2 linked regions of the Arabidopsis thaliana genome follow. The protein of the gene in region 1 purifies or fractionates together with the protein of each later gene. This does not show direct contact. Each region holds a gene or a part of one and is shown on either strand. Other genes may lie near its edges. The genes, in order: RPS2 and ROC1.

Region 1 (3,847 bases):
TACATTACGAAGATATTTGTAATGATAAAATTGCTCAGAGATAAAGAAAGGGTTATGATATGACTGAGGAAGATGCTTTGATTCTGTCGAGGTAAGGTAATAACTAATAAGGTATTGTTGACAAGCTATAGTGACAATAATAAGGAGAAAACCAAAAGCTAACAATGATAATTCTTGGAGAGGATGGTAACTGAGTTAAGAGAGCTTAAACAACGTCGGTTTGTTCCATCGAGAAAATCTCTGAAGCACAACGACATCGCAACTATTCCACAAGTGAGAAGACCAGAAGAGAGAATCAAACTTGACCATCTTGAAAAGTCTAAGTTAGTTCCAAGAGCTTTACATGCAAATTTTCTTAGTCCCGGAGGATGATAGATGGAGACTAACATGGCTTGATCTTACTTCTTACTAACAATCTCTGTAGCACGTGCAGTGGAAACCAAGCCGATCAAACCACTAAGATTAGCAACAAACTCTACCGAGGATAAGTACAACTTCAAGAGGTATGACCAGAGATGCCCCAAAAAATCAGGAACATGACAGAAACTCGACTAAAATTCAAGTAAAGACCATAGAATTGTCTTAAGAGACATTCAAAGTTATCCCAGACAGTTACTTGTAAATAGCTCATTCCAAAACTTGTGAAGTAACGATTACCATATACAATGTCTAAAGCATTTCCAAAAAATGAGTTGTGCAAGGAAAAGACAAGGCAGTTATCAAGATGTAGAACACTAGAACTCAACAATCTTATACAGAAATATCCATCAGAGAAACAAAATCATCCATGTGTAAAAAACTCCCAGAATTTCAAAGTTGAAGTAACCACAATTCTGAAGAACAATTATTCCAGACTCAGAAAAACAACTGTAAAGTTTCATACTTTTGTTGCAAATATCAAAATCAAGCAGCTAAATCCTTCATCAAATCTTCATTGCTCCCTTCTTTGATCCCCAACTTCATCTGTTCTGCCACAAAGCACTTGGTGATCACATTACAGAACAAATACACAAACTTGACCGAATCACGAGCTGGCACAGGATACGTAATCTTCTCAAAGAACTCCAATGGCACATTCGGGTCCACAATTGCAACAACCGGAATCTGAAGCTTCGATGCCTCAAGTATCACAGAGCTCTTCCTCTCAGAATCAAACACAACGACACAATCAGGCATAGTAGTTGGACCAAAGCAAAGCTTTTTATGCCTAGATCGAAACTTCTTAGGACTGTAGCTGTTAGTCAAAAACCCTCCCATCTTCCACAGATTCATCGCACGGTTGTGATTATACGAATCTCCTTGGATCCGACGAGAAGTGAGCTCAATGATTTCGTCGAAGAGAGGATTCGTGTTGACGAAGAAGATGTTACCTCTCATGTGGGCGAGGTTAGCGACGAAATGAGCGGCGCTACGGAGGCAAATTAGGGTTTTGTCGGAGTCGATAATTGTCATTCCGTTACGCGTCCCGTAAGCGTATTGCTTGAAATGGTGCTCGGCGGCACGACGGCCGAGATGTGCTCCGGTGTTCAGAAGCTTCTGGATTACTGCAGCGTGAATCGTCATAGTTCGTCGTCGGAAAAACCACCGGACGGCAGCGAGAGGGTTAGGGTTTAAGAGAAATTCGCAGATTGAATTAGATCTGATGAGGAAGATGAAACATGGATGAATCTGGAGCCGTCGGGTCGGGTCGGTCTGGTCTGGTCGTGTTGGGTATGAGCTAATTACCGGCCCATTTCGGTAGATTTCAGATGCCTAAACCAAACATCGTAAACCGGATGACAAACCGGGTCGTTGACCAACAAAAGAGAAATAAAATAAATAGTAACGTATAAGAGAGATTAATCGAAATAAATAAAATTTCTGGGAAATTTGGCGGCGACAGTTTCCTTTGGATTTCAGATTTCGTGAGCTTATTCTTACCTTTCTCTCGAAGGAAGCTCTCATCTTTTCACTCAGATCACGTTCCCTGTAAGAGAATCGATCAAACCCAATTCGTAACTTTCCTTATAATGTATCTTAGATTCCAAAGTTTTTGGATTTGGTGATGTTTTTCTTGTCAAGTTTTCTGATTAGGGATTACAAAAAGTCGAATCTGAGATTTGGGGATTTTAAGCGATCCTGTTTTGTGTTGAGTCTTTTCGTTATCGCCCAATTAGGGTTTGTGGTGGAGCTCTGTTTGATCTTCTGAATTTTTTTAAAACGATTCAATGGTTGGTGACTTAGCGCAGATGCATCGCTTTGTAATTTGCTAGGTTGAAAAATTCTATCTTGTTCTGATTCCCGTTGAAGCTTCTAGTTCTAGGGTTCGTTTTCTCTTATTGATTTCTGTTTGCATGGGTCTGTTCTATGATCTAGTGTTGAAGAATTAGTGTCTAGTGTGCAAAAATTGGAAGACTGGACAAATGAAAAGCTTTAAATTATAATCGCATAGCTCCATTATCAAGACACTGTCTCCAATTTTCATGTTTTTGTTTGTTTGATCTTATTTCTGGTATAATGCAGGGGCTTATTCGCTTGTATCTGTTGATATACAAGATGGCATCTGCGACTCTGAGAAGGCGGCTTCATCACGGTGATGTAGATGGGAGGAAGTATGAACGCTATGATGCAACAGACTCTGAAACTTTAAGTGAACCCTTGTTAGGAAGTAGTAGTACTGATAATAGTAGAAATGAGTACATTGAGGTTAGTAGTTCAGTGTGTGTGTTTTTAATTAGAGATGAGAAGAACCCTTTTATGTATTATTACCTGTGGTGTTACTCTTAGGAGCGTACTCTGGAGGATATTTGGGAAGAAGAACGGAAGAGACAGCAAGTTCACTGGACGTTAATCTTTTCTCAGTTGATTGCACAGTGGGCTCAGTGGATAGGTTGGGCTTTTATTGTCTTGTTACTATCACTCCTTGATTTTTTAAAAGGGGGATTATCTCATTACAACTTGTTTCTTGGTTTGCAGCCAAAATAGTCTTTGGATCTGGCTCACTTGTTGGGAGGTTTCTTTCTCTGCCTACATTTGGTCAAATAGGTACTGGTGGGAGGCTTCTGCCACCACCTCTTAGTATGTTGCAGGTAATCTAAACGGTCTACCTTATCTTTTGAACATTAGATACCAAAAGATACGTTTAAGAGGACTATAATTCATCAGCCTATACCATATTCTTTTTTAAGTTTACATTTTCACATTAGGTTCTTGGTCTTAGCATTGTTGAGATAGCTTTAGTAGTTTGTGTAAGAATACTTTTGTAACTGTAAGAATACTTGTGTAACTGTATTTGCACTGTCTCATTTGTAGACTACAAATACTTTTTATTGGCTTGTGTTTGGAAGAATAATGGTAACTCTGGAAAACAAAGAGATGTATAGAATTAGAAAATTTATCAGAGTGTGTTTCTGCTTGGTGCCTCTAAGTCTCTTACTTGTGTATGTGGTTTATTAGGAAGCTTACTTAGTAAAATGATGACTTTCTCTTATGGTCTCAATTGCTTGTTTTTGTTGCTTTTTAAAATTTTACCGGTTTGTTTTGTTTCCAGTTATCCATGGTCAATTTGACTGTCACTGTCAATTTGATCTCCATTCTGTATTTTCTTGCCTCTTATTAGGAAGAAAGGCTGAGAAATATTAAGCGAAGAATAGAAATCCCATTTGATGGATCTCGAATGGAGCATCAAGTAAGTGTTCTCATGGACTCTCTGTTTGCTTGATTCTCTATATTAATTATGCACATGCAATGTTTTGTCGAAATTTATGTAATCTCATGATTCACAGGATGCTCTTAGACAACTATGGAGGCTAGCTTATCCACAGAGAGAACTACCACCTCTTAAATCTGAACTCTGGAAGGAAATGGG
Region 2 (3,618 bases), on another chromosome or scaffold:
TCCGGATGGAATGTCTACTTTGGTATCTGACAATGAAAAGGGCTCGCTGCTAGAAAAGACAGAAAAAACTCAGCATATCTGGGGAATCGGTTTGGCTGTGGTTACTGCCATGGTTCATTCTCTAGGATCTGTTTCTGCAGGGGCTGATATTGTGGAGAGTGTCATATCTTACTTTTTCTTGGAGAAAGGTTACATGATCTCATACTATCTCGCTGCACCAGATTTCCCTTCTGATGATCGTGACAAAGTGAGGCTACGAAGTCAACGGACGTGGACTTCCCTTGCTTATCTGAGAGTAACCGAGCATACTCTCCTTCTGCTGTGTGCATTAGCTAGCCATTGGAGATCATGGGTTAAAATTATGAAGGATATGGATTCTCCATTAAGAGAAATGACAATACATCTCTTGGCCTTTATCAGCAAAGGCGCTCAACGGCTTAGAGAGTCTCAGAGCCACATATCTCATCTGTTATGCCCTCCAGTAGCGAAAGAAGAGTTTGATTCCTGCAAAAGACCGTCTTTCATCAATACCAAACACGGATGGTTTTCGCTAGCACCTTTAGTTTGTGTTGGGAAACCCAAGATCACTGCAGTATCTATCTCGACTGCTCTAGTTGTTAGGGGAGACACAACAGAACATCCTGGGTCTGTTCCTCAATCGCAATTTTCAGACTCAGTTGCGATACAGATATATAGAGTGGCTTCTCTATTGTTGAAATTTCTGTGCTTACAAGCAGAGGGTGTTGTTACGAGGGCAGAGGAAGTGGGATATGTCGATATTGCTCATTTCCCTGAGCTTCCAGAGCCGGAGATTTTACATGGTCTACAGGTACGTTAATTCGAGACCAAGAACGGTTACTGGTTTCTATTTTTTTTTTTTTTTTTTTTTTTTTTTTTAATCATCCTCTCTTTGCTTGGTACTACAATGTGTATATTAAAATGCAGGACCAAGCGACGGCGATAGTCGCTGAGCTATGTGATAATTACAAATCCAAAGAGATTCCAGATGAAGTAAAGAAGTTGTGCCTTATGCTGATCCAAACGACAGAGATGTCGTTATACTTGGAACTCTGTGTAGTTCAGGTTTGCAGGATCCATCCTGTATTTGGGCGTGTGGATAACTTCTCCAAAGACTTGAAAAAACTAGTGAAAGGTAACAAGTGTTTCTTCCATAGTAATATTGACAAGACTATTTTGGGATTTGGTGCCTTTTTTAAAATACGATTTAGTTGCAAGGAAAAAGTGAAAACGGTTTCGTAACATTGCTGCTTCTTTTGTTTTGTCTCGATCAGCTGCTGAGGTGCATACCTACTTAGAACCGTCCATAGATTCACTGAAGAAAATAGCTGCGTTTCTGTATCCTGGATCACTTTAGAAACAAAACAAACATGAGGACCATGCTTGAATGTGGTACGTATGTATTAGATTCCTTCCTTGATGAGTGATTAAACCGGCTATTGTACCATTGGTATATGTTAGTCATATAATAGTATTATTCTCTTTATTTCATATCATAGCTTTAAAAAAATGTTCGGCTCATGCTGTCCACTCCTTTTGGGCCGCTCGTTGCTTTCATTTTTTTAAATTGCTTACCTCTCAACAAATTCTTTTGATTGGTTCTCTCTCTGACTCTAGGCCGCAGAAAGTGCAGTTCCGAATAATTCTCACTCAACTAACTTTTGATAATCACTTATTCTAGATTATTCTGATTTTTGAATTCCCTCTACTCTTGAACACGTTTACTTACTATGAGGAAAAATTTAACCCTAAAAAGAAAACCACTCATTACAGCTAACATTTATGAGGGGTGGACTATTGCGCAAAGCATTGATAGTGTTAATTGAAAGTCATGCATATAGTATGCGTTACTACTAAAGTTTAACGGTTCAATTTTTTTGAATTTGAACTGACAGTAAATAAAATTAATTTTTAAGATTAAAAGACGTTGTTTTTAGCAAGTTGTTTAGAAATTGTGGGACACGTGTGGCACGTTGCTCCAGGAGGGGCATATGCCAAGTCTGAGATACTCCAACGCACTGACTGACTGACCCCTACTTAACCGGTGGTCAAACTCTTAACCTAACCACGGTTAAGATCTTAAAGCCGTTGAGATTTTCCCACATGTAATAATCTTGTTTATCTGTGAGATATTCGCCGCTTCCCCTTGGCCGGCTATAAATCGATAACCTCACCGATAAATCCTCTATTCATCATCCACAACAAACCTCTTCTTCAGTCTGATAGAGATCTCACGTTTCAAACAACAAGAATGGCGTTCCCTAAGGTATACTTCGACATGACCATCGACGGCCAGCCCGCGGGAAGGATCGTGATGGAGCTGTACACCGATAAGACTCCCAGGACTGCCGAGAATTTCAGAGCTCTCTGCACCGGAGAGAAAGGTGTTGGCGGTACCGGAAAACCCCTTCACTTCAAGGGATCTAAGTTTCACCGTGTGATCCCTAACTTCATGTGCCAGGGAGGAGATTTCACCGCCGGGAACGGAACAGGCGGTGAGTCGATCTACGGGAGCAAGTTCGAGGACGAGAATTTCGAGAGGAAGCACACCGGACCGGGGATCCTGTCGATGGCGAACGCCGGTGCAAACACGAACGGATCTCAGTTCTTCATCTGCACCGTGAAGACCGATTGGCTTGATGGGAAGCACGTGGTGTTTGGGCAGGTCGTGGAAGGCTTAGACGTGGTAAAGGCCATCGAGAAGGTTGGATCATCATCTGGAAAGCCGACGAAGCCTGTGGTTGTTGCCGATTGTGGTCAGCTCTCTTAGGATCTTCCTATCATCATCCTTAATTTAGCATCATCGTCGTCATTGTGGTGTCTCTTTATGCTTTTGCTTTTGTTATGGAGTCTTTTTAAAATTTGTAGTCATAAGTTTGGTGTGTGTTCTCATGGGAACATATATAAACTTGCCCCTTTAATATTAACTACCAGAAATAAGGAATGAGCACTCTTTTATCATATCTAATTTACGTTACCAAATTTCATCTTTGTTATCTGCATTTCCGTTGGAACAGATAAAAATACTTGGTCGAGTTTTTGTTCACCTATCTAATTAATGGTGGACGACGTTATGATCCACGTTGACGCAGAGGGGCTACACCACCACAAGGTCTTGGTCTAAAAAAGTAACACACGTGATTCTGCAGAGAAGCAAATTAGAAAACCCAATTAATGGCAATAATAATAAACAATACCAGTGGGCCTATTTTTTTGTTTAAATCACGGGTTTGTCGATAAGATCAACTTTAGTGGGCCTTCAAATATAATTGCCTTCGTACTCACTATTATATGAAAACGAAAATTTTCCACCTGAAGGCCGGCCCATCAAATCAGGCCCCAAACCAGTTTTAAAATCCACACGATTTTTCTGGAGACTGTGATGAATGATTGATGACATACCAATTACCAAATCAAATAAATGTTTCAGAGAAGACTGAATCTCATATTTATATGCAGCCAGCAGGGACGCATATGCCTTTAATTACGATTTCAGAATAAAATAATTGTGAGGGAAGCCAATACGTGTGAAAGCCAAAAATGAAAATAGTATAGCTGCTGTGATTTATTTGCTTGCTAACACAAATTTCATTTTTTGGA

What was found.
Region 2: the proteins of RPS2 (region 1) and ROC1 purify together in Arabidopsis thaliana (affinity purification with western blotting, with the first as the bait; one study listed by BioGRID). This does not show direct contact.

The regions. Positions count from the first base shown.
Region 1 is NC_003074.8:866,944-870,790, forward strand, and holds RPS2 (ribosomal protein S2), read right to left. Parts: upstream 1,764-3,847; 5' UTR 1,564-1,763; coding exon 904-1,563; 3' UTR 605-903; downstream 1-604. Other genes in the region: AT3G03610 (ELMO/CED-12 family protein), read left to right, coding at 2,208-2,210, 2,503-2,685, 2,767-2,869, 2,956-3,068, 3,599-3,667, 3,765-3,847.
Region 2 is NC_003075.7:18,082,790-18,086,407, reverse strand, and holds ROC1 (rotamase CYP 1), read left to right. Parts: upstream 1-2,156; 5' UTR 2,157-2,269; coding exon 2,270-2,788; 3' UTR 2,789-3,013; downstream 3,014-3,618. Other genes in the region: AT4G38760 (nucleoporin (DUF3414)), read left to right, coding at 1-829, 946-1,153, 1,293-1,375. UniProt on the Arabidopsis thaliana protein: PPIases accelerate the folding of proteins. It catalyzes the cis-trans isomerization of proline imidic peptide bonds in oligopeptides. Involved in de-etiolation.